Astyanax mexicanus: one gene and its partner. The protein of the gene in region 2 interacts with the protein of the main gene of each other region in a pairwise test. Links are inferred from orthologs where the notes say so. Each region holds a gene or a part of one and is shown on either strand. Other genes may lie near its edges.

Evidence for each region. The genes of interacting proteins can lie anywhere in the genome.
Region 1: the proteins of mcm10 (region 2) and cep72 interact in a two-hybrid assay, tested with the Homo sapiens proteins (2 studies listed by BioGRID and IntAct). The two-hybrid records come from large-scale screens. The link is inferred for Astyanax mexicanus from reciprocal best matches to the Homo sapiens genes MCM10 and CEP72.

Annotation. Positions count from the first base shown.
Region 1 is NC_064408.1:122,668,471-122,676,884, reverse strand, and holds the start of cep72 (centrosomal protein of 72 kDa), read right to left. Parts: upstream 3,598-8,414; 5' UTR 3,591-3,597; coding exon 3,482-3,590; intron 955-3,481; coding exon 821-954; intron 1-820. Other genes in the region: spire1b (protein spire homolog 1), read left to right, coding at 5,515-5,800, 7,500-7,531. UniProt on the Homo sapiens protein: Involved in the recruitment of key centrosomal proteins to the centrosome.
Region 2 is NC_064409.1:12,340,286-12,348,521, reverse strand, and holds the start of mcm10 (protein MCM10 homolog), read right to left. Parts: upstream 3,780-8,236; 5' UTR 3,431-3,779; coding exon 3,424-3,430; intron 1,842-3,423; coding exon 1,605-1,841; intron 1,500-1,604; coding exon 1,191-1,499; intron 366-1,190; coding exon 155-365; intron 1-154. UniProt on the Homo sapiens protein: Acts as a replication initiation factor that brings together the MCM2-7 helicase and the DNA polymerase alpha/primase complex in order to initiate DNA replication. Additionally, plays a role in preventing DNA damage during replication.

The sequences.
Region 1 (8,414 bases), on a different chromosome or scaffold from region 2:
TAAATTAAAAAAAGTGTTAAACCAGAATATGTTTTATATTTTAGATTCCTCAAAGTAGCATCTCTTGCTTAGATTAGACAGTTTAGCACATCTCTGCTGGATTTTCTCAGTCAGTTTTATGTGGTAGAGTCTCCTGGAATTCAGGTTTTCAGTTAACAGCTGTGCTGAACTCATCAAGAGTTAATTACTTGAATTTCTTGTCTCATAATATGTTTAAGAGCATCAGTTGTAAAGTTGTAAAGAGGTAGAGCTCAAATTTAAAAAAGTCTAGACTAGCTTGGGAGGGGCACTGGGTGATGTATGGGTTTAGGGGCGGGCCAGGAGGGAGAGCTGATTGGACTGAGTAGTGTGCCTCTGATAGCAGTGGTGAGATATAGATGGTTGGATGTCATCAAGGGGTGGGGTGGTATTATTGATAGATTGATTGATTAATTGATTGATCAAACTGTATATTGTGATGTGTCATCAAAAAATCACACTCATTTCCCATGATATATCTACTAGAGACAGATTATATCAGTAGTATCATCTGGATTCTGACTTCTGTTACAATTCTGATACAATCCTTGTATTTTTTTAATATCTCATTATTAGGGGTTTGCCATATCATATCATATGCAATAATAACATTTAATATTCATTTTGTTGCAGTAGTGTATTCTGGAAATATTTTTTATTTAACTCAGTGTTTTGTCATATCGTTATTGTCATATCATGTTATGTCATATCATATTGTCGTATCGTTATCACGAAAAAAAAAACATGAAATATTGTGATATTATTTTAGGGCCATATCACCCACCCCTAGTGTGTATCTTACCTGAACTGAATCCAGTACATTGTAAGAGAGATCCAGACTTTTCAGACGGACAAAATTCTTCAGAGAGATTCCCAGATGACAGATCTTCCCCGTTTCATATCCAGATCCAGGGAGGCTCAGTGATCGGACATCCGCTGTGGGTTCAAACAGAAACTGATAAATTAACTATAGATAATCAATCAATCAAGAGCCTGACTATGCTTTAGGTCGCGAAAGTCACAGTCCGTACTGTCAGCTACATTTTCCATTGTGAGGAACATAGTGAGGAAATGGAAGAACCACAGGCACAGGTCTAGTTAAGAACTGAAGCTGCAGAACAAGAAAGATCTCAGATAATCAGAGGAGAAGGATGGTGAGAACAGTCATAGTCAACAAACAGACCTCCAGAGCTCCAAAGACATCATCATCATCTTACTGCAGATGGAGTCACTGTGCATCGTTTAAACAAGGAGAGGCTGTATGGGAGAAAATTAATGTAGAAGAAGCCTTTTCTGAGCACACGCCACAAACAGAGTCGCTTCAGGTATGCTAAAGCTAAAGCACATTTGGAATAAGGTTCTGTGGACTGATGAAACTAAAATTTCAGGGTTATTTGGAGGGTGGTTATTTATATGCACAGAGGAAAAAGTACACAGTATTCCAACACAATCACTTTACTGCTCCCCACAGTAAAATTAGTGCCAGTTCCATCATGCTTTGGGGCTGTGGGACCAGTGCAGGTACCGGGAATCTTGTTAAAGTTGAGGGTCGCATGGATTTCAGTCAATATCAGCAGAGTCTTGAGAACAAGAATCAGTGAGAAAGTTGAAGTTTGAAGCGCCGGGGCTGGATACTTTAACAAGACAACGACCCTAAACACTAAACACTACTCAAAATCTACTAAAGCACTAAAGCATTCATGCAGAGCAACAAAAATTACAACGTTCTGGAATGATCATCTCAGACCCCAGATCTGAATATTATTGAAATATAATCTGTGGTGTGATTTAAAGCAGCTGTTCATGATCATAAACCTGAATCAAACCTGACTGAACAGATGATGTTTTGTAAAGAAGAATGATCCAAAATACCTTCAACAAGAGGCCAGACTTTCAATGGAAGCTATAGGAAGAGTTTAAATGCTGTTTAGATTTCTGCAAAAGGAGGATCTCTACTAAATATTGATTTGATTTTTCTGCTGGGTTGCTGAAATTTACGCACCTGCCTAATTTTGTTTAAATAATTATTGCACACTTTCTGTAGATCCTATAAACTTAATTTTTTTTACTTCTTCGCTATATCTTACTTTGTCTGATATATGATATATTTAACTAAAATTGCTAATCCGAGCAATCAATGGTGTATAAAGGAAAATAATGAAAATTATCAGGGGTGACCAAACTTTTTTTTTATACCACTGTAAAATCAAAATCAAAATTTAGACTTGTTCATATATTTGAAGAATTCTTTTTTTTATATATATATATATAACTGTCCAGCCCTAGCTTGAATAACATAAACAAACTATCATAAACATAAACAAAATATTGATCAACATCATGTTACGATACGTCAACGGTAGGGGTGTGCCATATCATATCGTACGCGATAATATCGCCAACATTTTTGAATATCGTGAACGATATTATACCCTGAAATATCGTGCCATAACACTCACCCCTAATTATCACTTTTTTATCCTACTTTTTTGCTGATTAAGCGAAAAAAAAAGTCACACATTTCTCATTTACAATTAAATATCTACTAGAGACAGATTATATCTGTCCAGTATCATTTATTTTACTTTAATCCTGGATATATGGAGATATTTGGAGTGCATTATTATTAGTATCATGACATTCTGGATCATTGACTTCTGTTACAAATCTGATAAAATTATTGTATTTTATTTTATATGTCAGTTAGGGGTGTGCTGTATCATAACGTATACAATAATAAAATGTAAGTTTTGTTTTGTTGCAGTAGTGTATTTTTTATTTTTATGTTTTTGTCATATCGGCAAGAGTATCGTTATTGTGATAAGACCGTGAAATATCGTGATATTACTTTTGGGGCCATATCGCCCACCCCTAGTCAACAGCGTAATTATCGCGACAGCCCTTGTTCTCTTTAGTTCTAATTCTGCATTTATTTGGCTTACAATGAGTGAATGTGCAAATAAAGGCTGGTGAGTTTGCTGGTCTGATATCTCCATGTTCGCAGTAGCTCTAGTATCAGCACTATTAGCAGCACCATAGTTAATCGGGTAACCAGCAACAGCTTAAGGTTTCATAGTCAGAAAAAGCTCCTGTTGAGACCTAATTACCAGACCACTAACTGTGTTTTTAGAATGAATATACTGTATGTGGCTTGGCAGGAATAGTAGCAGAAGCACACTGACGCTATTTATCAGGATATTTTCCCTTTTCCAAACTCAGAAACACTATTATTATCAATTTAAAAGACAAAACTTTAAGGACTGCTGCTTTAAACTAAGGTAACTAGATTAGCTAAATTAACTAGCTAACGTTACAAATTACTGTTTACCTGCGCGACAACGGTGCTAGCTTGAAAACACTGTGCGATTTAAACGCTTTAAAGCGTTTATAACATACGTATAAGATAGTGATACGGTTAATAAAGGTGTGTAGAGTCTGTACAGATATATAAAGTGAAGTTTACCCAGACAGCGGTGCTGCAGGCTGAGCTTTTCCCGGATCCACTGCTCTGTTACTGATACGCTATCTGCCGCCATGGTTTCAAACGGCCGGAGGAGACGCGCTCTGCGCATGCGCCTCACTCAGCTGCGCCCTAGCTCTGTAAACGGCGGTGTCCCAAACTGAAGGGAGCTCAGAAAAAGGGAGCAGCCTCTGGATTAAGGGCTCCGAAACCCAAACTGACGCTTCCACAGGATCACTTGCGCTCTTTTACATATTAGAGTTTTAAGTTCTGAAGCTTTATTTCCATTTAAGACGGGTAGGATAACATATTGAACCTTCCTGCCTCCGAATACCGCCTAAGTAGGCAGCGTGGGTGCGATTTAGGACACATCCAGCTAATCAGAGCCGTGTAGATAGAGATGGCTATATTTTAACACTGATTATCTCCCCATAACAATGACTGATCGCCCTCTTGTGTTTTTGTGATGGTAGTACCTTAAAACAATGTGGGACAACACCATAGCAACACACTAGCAACCACCTGAAACACCACAACAACCACATAGAAAGCACTTTCAATATCGCACAACCACCCTAACAAGCAAGCACTTCGGAAACTATAGCAACTACCTAGCAGCAACAGCATCTCGACCACCCGGGATGCCATAGCAACTGCTGAGCTACAGCATACTCTACCTAGCAACCACCTAGCAACCACCTGGGACAAGTAAGTACTGGCTTAATATCGGGATGAAACAGGATGACACCAGCAAGCAAGTTCAAAGAAACCACATTTGATACCATACCAACTGCTTAACAACAGCATAGCACCTCCAAGCATAGGAAGAATAGCAATAACCAAGCAACTGCATGGTAACCACCTAGGACACCTGGGTGGCTGGCATGTACGCTTAGGTATTTTGGGTGGTTGTCATAGAGTTAGAAAGTTGTTAAAGTGTGGTTACTGTGGTGTTACTCTGTGGTTACTATAGTACTTCAGGCAAGTGACAATATATTTGTTTATTTTGAAGAATATGCTAACAAAATAAATGTTAAATGTTTTATTTAGCATAACAATTTTAAATATTTATTAGACAAAAACAAGCAATCTTACCAAGATTCACCAAGTAACTTATTGTATAAAACTATTTGCACAAAATATATATCAAAAATTATACAAAAATATCCCTAAAGCTTTACAGTAAAAAAAAAAAAAAAAAAATATATATATATATATATATATATATATATATATATATATATATATATTATAATTAGATTAAATTTAGTACAAACAGAAAATCTGTAAGCCTTCGTAAACAGCAGGAGCTGACCAAGATAATAACGTGCATATAATATTTTGTATAAAATAATAATAATACATATGTTATAAATTAAATTAAAATAATGCAAAGTAACAAAAAAATATACTAAAACACAAAAGTGAGGAATACATTATATCCTTTGTCTATCAGTAAGTGACCAAGATAGTACATTACTTATCATCAAAAATAAATAAGTAAATAAAATTAATTAATTAATAAAAAAATATTTGGGGCTATTTTTATAAGTAAGTATAAGTACATAACTGACAGAGATACGTATGAAGTGATAAGAATATATTCAATATTTTTAATATTCACCTTTTTAATATGTTTTCGTTATATATATATATATATATATATATATATATATATATATATATATACGTATATATATATATATATATATATATATATACGTATATATATATATATATATATATATATATATATATACATATATATATATATATATATACACGTATATATATATATATATATACGTGTATATATATATATATATATATATATATATATATATTGTGTGTTCAGTGCTGAGGCCCCGCCCCTCTCTGCGCTGCGCGGTCATGTGATTGGTGTGTTGTGCTGAGCTGCGCTTTCGGGGCGGGTGGGCAGTATTGGGCAGTATTGGGCTCTGAATGACCACAGATACTGATACCCACGCGGACAGCGCGAGCGGAGGATGAGCAGAGGATGAGGAGAGGATGAGAGGATGTCTGCGCGCGAGCTGATGGAGGCCAGGGTGCGCGAGGAGGAGGAGGAGGAGGAGGAGGATGAAGATGAAGGAGAGGAGCTGACTCTGCAGGAGATACTGACCCTCTATAACCAGCCCATAAATGAGGAGCAGGCCTGGGCCGTGTGCTACCAGTGCTGCCGGACCCTGGCGGAGCGGGGCGGCCCGGGACCCAGGCGCGCGGGGCTGCACCCCCGGGGGGTCATCGAGGGTCCGGAGGACGTGTGGATACACCAGAACGGCACAGTGCGGCTTCAGCCCGCAGGTAAACACTGATCTCCTGCATCCCATAATCACATAACTGCAATAACCAGCTGCAGAAAAATCTGTGCATCCTCTGCAGGGTGCATGCACCAGCACGTGCGTGCATGCATGCATGTGTGAATGCGTGCAAGCATGCATGTGTGAATGCGTGCATGCATGCATTTGTTGTTTGTGCGTTTAGCACAGTGAGCACTCTATGGAAGCTCCAGTAGGCATCATCACCATCTGCATCTCGAGCCCCGTGAAGGAATGGCTGGTTATATAACACAGTGCATTCAGTCAGGCCTGCAGTCGCGAGCGCGAGAGAGGGCAGTGTGTTAATGATCTGACAATGTAAACACTGTGATGTATGGATAGGGATGAGTATGAATAGATATGTATGGATGGATATGAGTAGCTATGTATGGATGGGTATGTGTATGAATAGATGGGTATGAGTAGCTATGTATGGATGGGTGTAAATGGGTATGTATAGATGGGTATGGCTATGTATTATGGGTATATACAGATTAGAATGGGTATGGGAATGTATAAGGATGGATACAGATTAATGGCTAAGGGTATGCATGGATGAGTATCGGCATGTATTATGGGTATATACAGATTAGAATGGGAATGTATAAGAATGTTTAAGTATAGATACAGATTGATGGCTAATGGTATGTATGGATGGGTATTTCTATGTGTGGTTTATTCTGGATTAGAGAATTACAGGATTACAGGTTAGAAAAGGTATAGATATGGATGGATACAGATGAGTATGAATTGTTAGGAAGGTTATGGATTAGGATGGATGTGTATGGACAGATATGGATGGATTTTATTGTTTATGAATATGGATATGAATTAGTATGGATGGTTGGGGATGGGCATAGATGGGTATATATTATAAACTTACAATTGAGTGAATTCAAACTGATTAGAAAAAGAATAAATCTGATGCTGTAACCGATCTAATGTCTGAGCTAATGGCCTACTGTTCCCATCTCAAGTGAAAACATCTAAAACTCTCTGGCTGTGGCTTTAAAGTGCCCGCTCTTCAGGAATGCTGTGTGTTTACGGTGTAATTAGATGGAGCTAAGTGAGTTAATAGGTGTACCCTTTGAGTACACAGCCACAGGCAGCACACACACACTGTGTACACCATCTCTAACATGGCCTGAATGGGCGTGTCCAGTATTCACATCACTCTTAGTTTCACTTTTCTGGCCTCAGAGACGTGATAGGGGAAGAAACAGCAGCTTGTTTTTCTTAATCAGGACCAGCACAGGTTCAGAGCACAGCCTGGCCTGGTGTGTTCTCTGCTCTGACTCACTCCTCAGCTGATTAACAGGCTCCTGATGAGCTGGCGCAGGTGTGATACAGCAGGAAAGACACTAAACTAGGTCTGCACTAAATACAGCGCCATGAAATTGAATGAAAGTACCATCCCTTTCAACACAACTGCACTGTGTAGGCCTTCTTCTGTAGGCTCTGGTAAAATATTTCATATGCTGCTTCTGTGTCCCTCAGCTTGTCCAGAAAAGCAAGTGTACAGCTGATATGTTATGTTTGGTGTCTAAAATAAGCTTGTGTGGTCTTACTCAATATATTGCAATCAAAGGAAAAACGCTAAACCCTGTAGGCCTTAATAATCAATAAACATCATCCAAATTTGTGCTTGTCCGGTAATGACAGTGCTGCTCTTTCTTATTCCGCAGGTAAAGGCCAGGCGGCATCCTCAGCAGTGTGGGTGAGTACAGCTACTCTATATCAACACTGATAACTTCCTAAACAGGGACTGTCATTGGACAATGGCAGTACTGGGAACAAGACTGCTCATTCCTTGTGTCTTCTGAAATCAATGGTATTAAAAAGAGTAAAAGAAACACAGTAACCGAAAAAATAAGAGAGCACTTAAAAATAATGAGCTTCTTTGATTTTACCAAATTATACCAAAAACCTCTGGAATATAATTAAGAGGAAGATGGATGATCACAAGTCATCAAACCACCAAACTGAACTGCTTAAATTTTAGTTTGAAACATAAAGTTATCCAAAAGCAGTGTGTAAGACTGGTGGAGGAGAACATGATGCCGAGATGCATGAAAACTGTGATTAAAAACCAGGGTTATTCCACCAAATATTGATTTCTGAACTGAATGTGAACTTGTTTTCTTTGGATTATTTGAGGTCTGAAAGCTCTGCATCTTTTTTGTAATTTTTAGTTATTTCTTATTTTCTGCAAATAAATGCTCTAAAATAAATGCTCTTTATTTTGGAATTTGGGAGAAATGTTGTCTGTAGTTTATAGAATAAAACAACAATGTTCATTTTACTCAAACATAAACCTATAAATAGCAAAATCAGAGAAACTGATTCAGAAACTGAAGTGCGACCTTCATTTTTACAGAGATCTATCTATGTAAAAAACCAAACCAAACAGAGGGAGAAACGCTCCAAATAAACAAACTCATCAACTGATCCAGACCATAGAAATTTTCACAACTACAGGTGTGAAAACGCTCTTTTATACTCAGCAAATTCTAAGTTCTAATTCAGAAATCCCTACAACCAAGCTGAGATGTTTATAATAAAGTAAAAAAAGTTTCCTCTATTCAATTTATCATGTATTC
Region 2 (8,236 bases):
TTCATGATTTTTAAAAGAAAAAAATCCCTACACATCACCGTACATATGTTCCAGTTCAGATTTCATTTTAAAAGATCAAGTATTGTTATGACTGTAGAGATTTAGTCACATTTTCTTTGTTAATCTAGCTCTCTCAAAAAGACTAGATACACACCTTAGACGAAGACCTGAGAATTTCTCCACAGCAACGTCCTGAGTAGAAGGTGGTCGGGGTGTGGCTTGTCTTGCAATGGGAGGAGCTACACCAGCCATTTTACTTGGTGGCGGTGACGTCATGGTATTGTTAATTTTACCGCTACTTCTCATCGGCTGTGACAACCTGTCACCCACACTCTGACTCTGCACACTCCGGTTTTCTGCAGAGGCTGAAGGAGGGCAGGGCAAAAAGAAGAAAGTGAAGTTGAGTCTGAGTCAGATTAGCATTGAATGAACTCAAATAAACAATCATTAAACAGGAAGCACCCAATGCAAGAACTGTCTCACATTATGCTAATACACAGATTCCCAAACAGAAAATAAGCCTAGACTTAAACCATACAGCATTTTTAAAGATTGAAAGGAATATTAAATCTATGGCTTAATCCCTGTCCAGGAAACCGACCCATAATATGAAATGCTCAAACAAGATAAAACTAAAAACACTTACAAATAAACATTTAACTGAAACATACTAATTCAAAACCTTACTTTTTTTTTTATCAAAAAGTAATTTAAAAGTTGACAGTTAAAGTAACATTAATGATTATATTTTCAGCAGTAAATGATAAAACAATTAGGGTGTATCATCAAAGTTCAAGCACTGCCATCTGTTGTCTGCAGAGCTAAACCCAGTATTTTATTACTAGAACTGTGCAGTACATCACAGAAACCAGTGTGGGTGTTGGCTTCTGCCTCTGCCTGCTTCTCATTCCCCAACACTCATTATGTAAAGTTATATAAAATCCACATAAGATGGTTAATAATGTCGTTTGCCATGATTGAAGTTGTTGAATTCGTCTTGCACTTGTTTGTGTAGGTTCAGTGTTTTCAGCTTGGCAACCCGAGTGAGCTTTGTGTCTGTGGAAGGGTGGGCAGGGCAGACAACTCTATCTGGTGTTTTGAAACTGGACTGCTGTAGCGCTTATTTTCTACTGATCGCATCTTAACTGTGTTTAATTGCTCTCTGTACATACATAAGAAAAAACATGTACCTGCTTTGGCTTGGTGTGCAGTTATCTGCCTGCCCTCTGTTTCTAGAGGTGGAGACCCTATAGCCCCTCTCGGTGCAGATGGGGGGGATTGGCTGGGAAGACGTGTTTGTAGAGCAGGTTTGCTAGACTGCTGAGGAGAGGTCAGGCGCTTGGCAGGAAGCTTTGCTGCTGGTGAAGTTCTGCTGCTTATCTGTTTCTGTGAGGAGGGTTTATCTTCAGCAGGTTTGGGTTTATAATCTGCACCTTTCTGAGATGCCTGCAGCTGCTGCTGTAGCTTCTGCATCTTCTCACGCATGCTCCTCAACTCCGCTAAAGTTTTACAACAGGAATTTCAATAGAACATGTCAACTTAAGATTCTCAGTAATTTTTATTTAAATAAAATGTTACATTAGCGTAAAACTATTTAACCTTACCCTCCAAGTCCTCTTTGGATTTATTGAGTTCACTTTCCACTTCTGCACTTGAGTTTGCAGCTTCCACAACCTCTTCTGCTTCTTCTTCTTCTGGCTCAGCATAGGCTTCTCCTTCATCACCATCATCATCAAACAGATTATCCAGATTGTCCTCTTCTCCAGCAGCAGAAGTCTCTATCTTCTGACCCTGACTCTCCTCAAACAAGGAAAGCAGCAGGTCCAGGTTCTCATCCTCTGCTGTTAATCGTAAATCAGAAAGCACTGGCATTATAAAGTCCATCTTCATAAAACTTAGAAAGATAAGTAATTATATTTATTATTGAAATCTAACAATTAGGATACTTGAAATCCCATATTAAACACAAACCCAAAGCTTGTGTAGAATTTACAGCACTGATATAATGTTAATATTAAAGCATGACACTACAATTACACCCTCCTAAAGAGCAGTGAACTAGTGGTGTGTTATATTGTATCATATAAATGTTTTTTGACACACTGAAACCATATTGTGATATGTCGATATTTTTGGAAGCTAGGCCTTTCACAATAACTACATTATTGTCTTATCATACAATAAATTGACATGCCCTCAATAATATTTGATATTCATGATATTGTCCACTCCATTCTCATGTTGTGGACAGCAGTAGGGGAAGAATTAAGCATATATCCCCCAATCTATGATTAATTAACATTGTGTTGTTTATGTAAGGGTTTAATTGCTTTGTCATGCTACTATATTATCATTATAATTACTTGAATTTAATGGTCTTAAAATTACAAAAATATTGTTTATCGTAATAATTTCTGGGACAATATATCTTCCTTGTAAAATACCTAATGGAAGCTGTTTATTTTGTATTTGATTGATTTACACTATTTACTTTTAATTGTTTGTTTGTAGTTTATATGCAGACTGTAAATATGCTGACAAAACAATGGACTGTAAAGATATCAGCAAAGCCTCGTAAATGTATTGAGCTCATGTCCGTATATTGTACAGTAAATCTATGACGTAATTATCGTTACCAGGGCTAAATGTGGGAGTATACTCACTTATTTACATAATGTATATAAACATAATTATAACCATTATAGGTTAACTAACTTGGTTTTGCTAAATTATCTAACGATGGCTAATCTAACTTGCCTGACTTTTTACCAAACAATAACTGTTACCTAATAATAAACCATATGAACAACAGGCACACAAACAGAGACGAGGTAAGACAGATTCTCTAAATCTGCTAATAACAAGCTCTGTTTATAAAACAACAAAAAAAACTAATTTCCAGCTCCACCTTAACCCTTTTAGACATGAATTATCTCCAGTGATGGAAATAATGGTAAACAAATAAATCATAGCTATTACCTGGAATATTTAATAATTTATTTTTTTATAGTGACATTTTTATTTTATTAACAGTAAAATTAAAAAGTGTTCTAAATCACTATATTTATATTTTATCACTATCATTATATTTGTAAAAAAAAAAAAAAAAAAAGTTACTTTGCCTTAATGGCTCTAGTACTACTGTTTTCCCAGTGCAGTGGATGTGACCAAGCTGCTGTTTCGTTTATAATTGGCTGTTGCATGGTCTGTTCTGATGGACAACAGCTCTTAAATAGTGTTATGTGCAACAAAATGTTTAAAAATAAAGAAAATACATGATGTCTATTGTAAAGTATGCAGGGTCTAAAAGGGTTAAAACCCGCCGCTGTCTGAAGCGAACTATGAGCTACTGTATGTAACCGGCGCGCCATTTAAGGTGGAAAGTTTAAAAGCCAAATTCAACCAGCTTCTAGATCTACTTACCAGTCATCTCTGCAGCTCCAGTCCTTCTCTCTGAACTGAAGCAGCGCTGTGTTTATCTGATGGAAGATTCTGATGAGTCTGATGTTCAGTATTTTTTCAGGGTCAAATGAATCTGTAGCTCTGAAGAACAGATCTGTCGATTTGTTCTTCTGAACTCAAAAACAGAATAACACACAGTCCGCCCCCCAGCTCTCACACCAGCAACACACCAATCACAACAATGCTACAGTACCGGGCTTATTATATTCCTAAATATTTAATATATCAGGAATATGGACTCCAAATCCAGGTAAAATGTTGTTCAGCCCGTTCCCGTCTGCTGCTGCTCTGCGGTGGCGCGAAAAATGTTAAAATATGATACGCCCTAAACCGACGTCAGTACAAAAGGCAACACCAGTGCCTGTTCAAAAAACATATATATGAATTAAGAGTAATAATAACAGAGAAGTAATTTTAGTTATGTATGTTATGTATAGATATCGTTTATGAATGACACTATATAGATAACATTCTGTTTCTAATTGATTTGATTATTAATGGGTTTTACGATTCTCTGTCTCCCGCTTCGTATCTACAGGCGCACACAGGATGCCAGGCGGTCCTTAAGGTGCTGATCTTCAAATCATCTGCGCGGTAAAGTTCTTCGTCCTCATGCAGTGTAGATCATACCGTTCGTATCTGAAACGTAACACATGCTGACTTGCTGCCCACACTCAACTACCAGACCTAACTTAAAGTCAGTGTAGTGATCACAGGCGCCGCTAGCCCTTTACTGGGGTGTTTTTGTAGTTTTCTTTTTGTTTTGAGTAAATTTGTCTTACAAATTTTCAAACCTTGAAAACTATACATATTATTTTAATAACGAAAATACAGGGGTTGGACAATCAAACAGAAACACCTGGTTTTAGAACACAATTTATTCTCCAGACAGACAGTTCTGGTGAAAACAGGAGAGTTTTTGTGTTTGGATTTTGCTTTCATTTTACAAATCCTTAAAAATAAGTCCAAAATATGTGTACTGCAGTTTTAAAAATATTGACTAGGTGCTTCTTTAATAAAAAAAAATTTGACACAATGAAAATACTCCATATCATAATATCACAATATTTTTGGAAGCTTTTAAGTGTTCGTTTGCAATTTTTTAAGCAGACCTTTGTTTTATGGCATTTTTTTTGGTAGTTACACTAGAGTTTGTTTTTAGTAATTTTTTTTTTAAATGTTCAAACCTTAAAAGTATACATATTATTTTTACAATGAAAATATATGGAGTTAATTTTATGCCAAAGGTTTGACACAAATTAATAAAACCTGCAAACAAAAGTTTAAAAATCAAATGTAAAATAATATTTATCCTTTGCAGTTATTGGAAAATGATTTGCGTTTAGGTTTAGGTTGTCTTTGTTGTTTTTGCACTTTGTTGGATTTTTGCTGATAAGGTCTTCTGCTTCTGGAATATCTCGAGGTTAAACCTCTGATCCTAGAATCGCCACTGTAGGATCTGTAGTGATGAAATGACAGCTCCCTGCTACCTAATGAGTGTTTAGCCGTGTTGTCATACAGTGAAACAGAAGGCTAGATTACTAACTTCAGATCAGACATGGCTGGGAGCCTCCTGCATTCATTCAGAAACAGATTAAAGTCATATCAGAGCTGTTTTTATGGAGAGACTGTCCACCTTCATATATGCCCTATATATGAGAAAATGACTTTTAACCGCTAGAGGGAGCCATCGAGTGAGTCTTCAGTGAATGGTGGTGAATGACTCTAAACAGATTAAACCTCAAATAAAAATAGTAACTAACCATTTGGCCAATATATTCATTTAATTTCATAAAGTAGATTAAAGTTACTGAAAAGACAAAGAAAAGGCAAAGAAAACATACCAATATATTTTTTCTACAGCAAACGGGTTATAGGCAGTAAAGACGCAAGCATTAGAGTTTAAAAGGTTTATAGCTGGAGTTTAAAAGCTTTAAAAATGTATATGTCTGAGGTACAAAAACATTTTAATTTGTCTTGTGTTAAAAAAATGTAAGTAAAATTTTCAGTGTACAAATGATCAAGCATTTGTTGACAACAATTTTGCTCAGTTGCTCCATATGAACCTATTAAATCTGGGCTCACTTGGGAGCGCCCTCTGGTGGTAAAACAAACCCGGCAAAGATTATTAAGTGGGCAATCGTTTGTGTAGAAGTTCTGTGGTTTTAGTGTCGCTGTTAAAATAGAAAAAAAAATGAAACATCGCAGCTGTCCATTTGGCCTGGAAATTTCTTTGATTTTGAAAAATCATAATTATGTACAAAGAAAATCCCCCTATATTATTTAGTTTTTCTACATTAAACGGATCGAACTCAAGCCCTGGGTTTGAAATGTTTATAACTGGAGTTTGAAAACTTAAAAAACTATATAGCTGCGGTATTAAAACATGAACTATTGTTCTGTGGTGATGAAATGAGAACATTAAATATTATAAACTTTTTGATCAGTTAATCCGTAGAAAATTATTAATTGTGGGGCTTATTCAGAAGCGCCCTTTGGTGGTTAAAAAAACCAACCGGCAATAAATTATTTTGTGTGCATTCTCCTGTGTAGAGGTTCTGTGGTTTTAGTGCCGCTGTTACACATAGTAGACTTGATAATAAAGTCGTAATATGAGGGCTGGTTTATGGAGAGACTGCCCACTGTACTATCTCCACCGTTAAATCAGGAAATTGCTGATAACCTCTAGAGGGAATGAGTCCAAAATGAATGGGGGTGAATGGAGCTAAATAGCTGAAACTCAAAATAAAAATAGTACTGTTCACCTAGCCAGGAAATTCCTTTAATGTAGGAAATTAGAATTATGTACAAAGAAAAACTCACTTTATTTTTCAGTTTTTCTACAGTAAACAGATTTTAGGCAGTAAAGGCACTACTGCTACTGTGAGCTGACTGGAAGATGAGCTGATACTGGAGTTACAGTTAGAGCACTGTGTTTAAAATATTTATAACTGGAGTTTAAAAGCTTTAAAATATTTCTGCGGTATAAAAAACGTGATATTCTTCTGTGTTGATGGAATGAGAACACTAAACATTTATAAACCCGAATTTCGCTCAGTTTTTTGCTCCATTGTGAAATTGTGGGGCTCACTCGGGAGCGCCCTCTGGTGGTAAAAAAACGGAACTAGATTATTTAGTGTGAAATTAAACATAGTAACTGTCCATTTAGCCAGAACATTATTTTAATGTTGGAAATTAGAATTATGTACAAAGAAAACCTCCATTTATGTTTCAGTTTTTCTACAGTAAACGAATTTTAGACAGTAAAAAGTGCTGTAGTACTACTACTGTGAGAAAGTAAAACATTTATAAACTTAGATTTTGCTCAATGGATCCATATGAACGTAGTATATTTTTGCTCACTCGACAGCGCCCTCTGGTGGTCAAAAACGGGAATAGATTATTTAGTGTGTATTCTGTGGTTTTGGTGTCGCTGTTAAAAACAGTAGACCTCGATAATAAAGCTGTAATATCAGAGCTGGTTTATGGAGAGACTGCCTTCTTTTTTTCTCCACCATTATATCAGAAAATGACTATTGTTCTATGTTGATGAAATGATAACATTAACCATTTTTGAACTCAAAAATGCTCAATTGCTCCATATGAATTTATTCGTTTTGGGCTCACTCGACAGCGCCCTCTGGTGGTAAAAAAATAGGAATAGATTATTTAGTGTGAAATTAAACAGTAACTGTTCACTTAGCCAGAAAATCCTTTAATGTTGAAAATTAGAATTATGTACAAAGAAAACCTCCATTTATTTTTCAGTTTTTCTACAGTAAACGAATTTTAGGCAGTAAAGGCGCTGCATTACTGCTACTGTGAGCTGACGGATTGGTGAGCTGATGCTGGAGTTACAGTCAGAGCACTGAGTTTAAAATATTTATAACTGGAGTTTAAAACCTAAAACATTATATCTGCGGTATTAAAATATGTGATATTTGTTCTGTGTTGATGAAATGAGAACATAAAACATTTATAAACTTAGATTTTGCTCAATGGATCATTAAGAACGTATTCATTTTGGGCTCAACAGCGCCATCTGGTGGTCAAAAACGGGAATAGATTATTTAGTGTGTATTCTGTGGTTTTAGTGTCGCTGTTAAAAACAGTAGACCTCGATAATAAAGCTGTAATATCAGAGCTGGTTTATAGAGAGACTGCCTACTTTTTTTTCTCCACCATTATATCAGAAAATGACTATTGTTCTATGTTGATGAAATGATAACATTAACCATTTTTGAACACAAAAATGCTCAATTGCTCCATAGGAACTTATTCGTTTTGGGCTCACTCGACAGCGCCCTCTGGTGGTAATAAAAAACAGTAATAGATTATTTAGTGTGAAATTAAACAGTAACTGTTCACTTAGCCAGAAAATCCTTTGATGTTGAAAATTAAAATTATGTACAAAGAAAACCTCCATTTATTTTTCAGTTTTTCTACAGTAAACGAATTTTAGGCAGTAAAGGCGCTGCATTACTGCTACTGTGAGCTGACGGATTGGTGAGCTGATGCTGGAGTTAAAGTCAGAGCACTGAGTTTAAAATATTTATAACTGGAGTTTAAAACCTAAAACATTATATCTGCGGTATTAAAATATGTGATATTTGTTCTGTGTTGATGAAATGAGAACATAAAACATTTATAAACTTAGATTTTGCTCAATGGATCATTAAGAACGTATTCATTTTGGGCTCAACAGCGCCATCTGGTGGTCAACAACGGGAATATATTATTTAGTGTGTATTCTGTGGTTTTAGTGTCGCTGTTA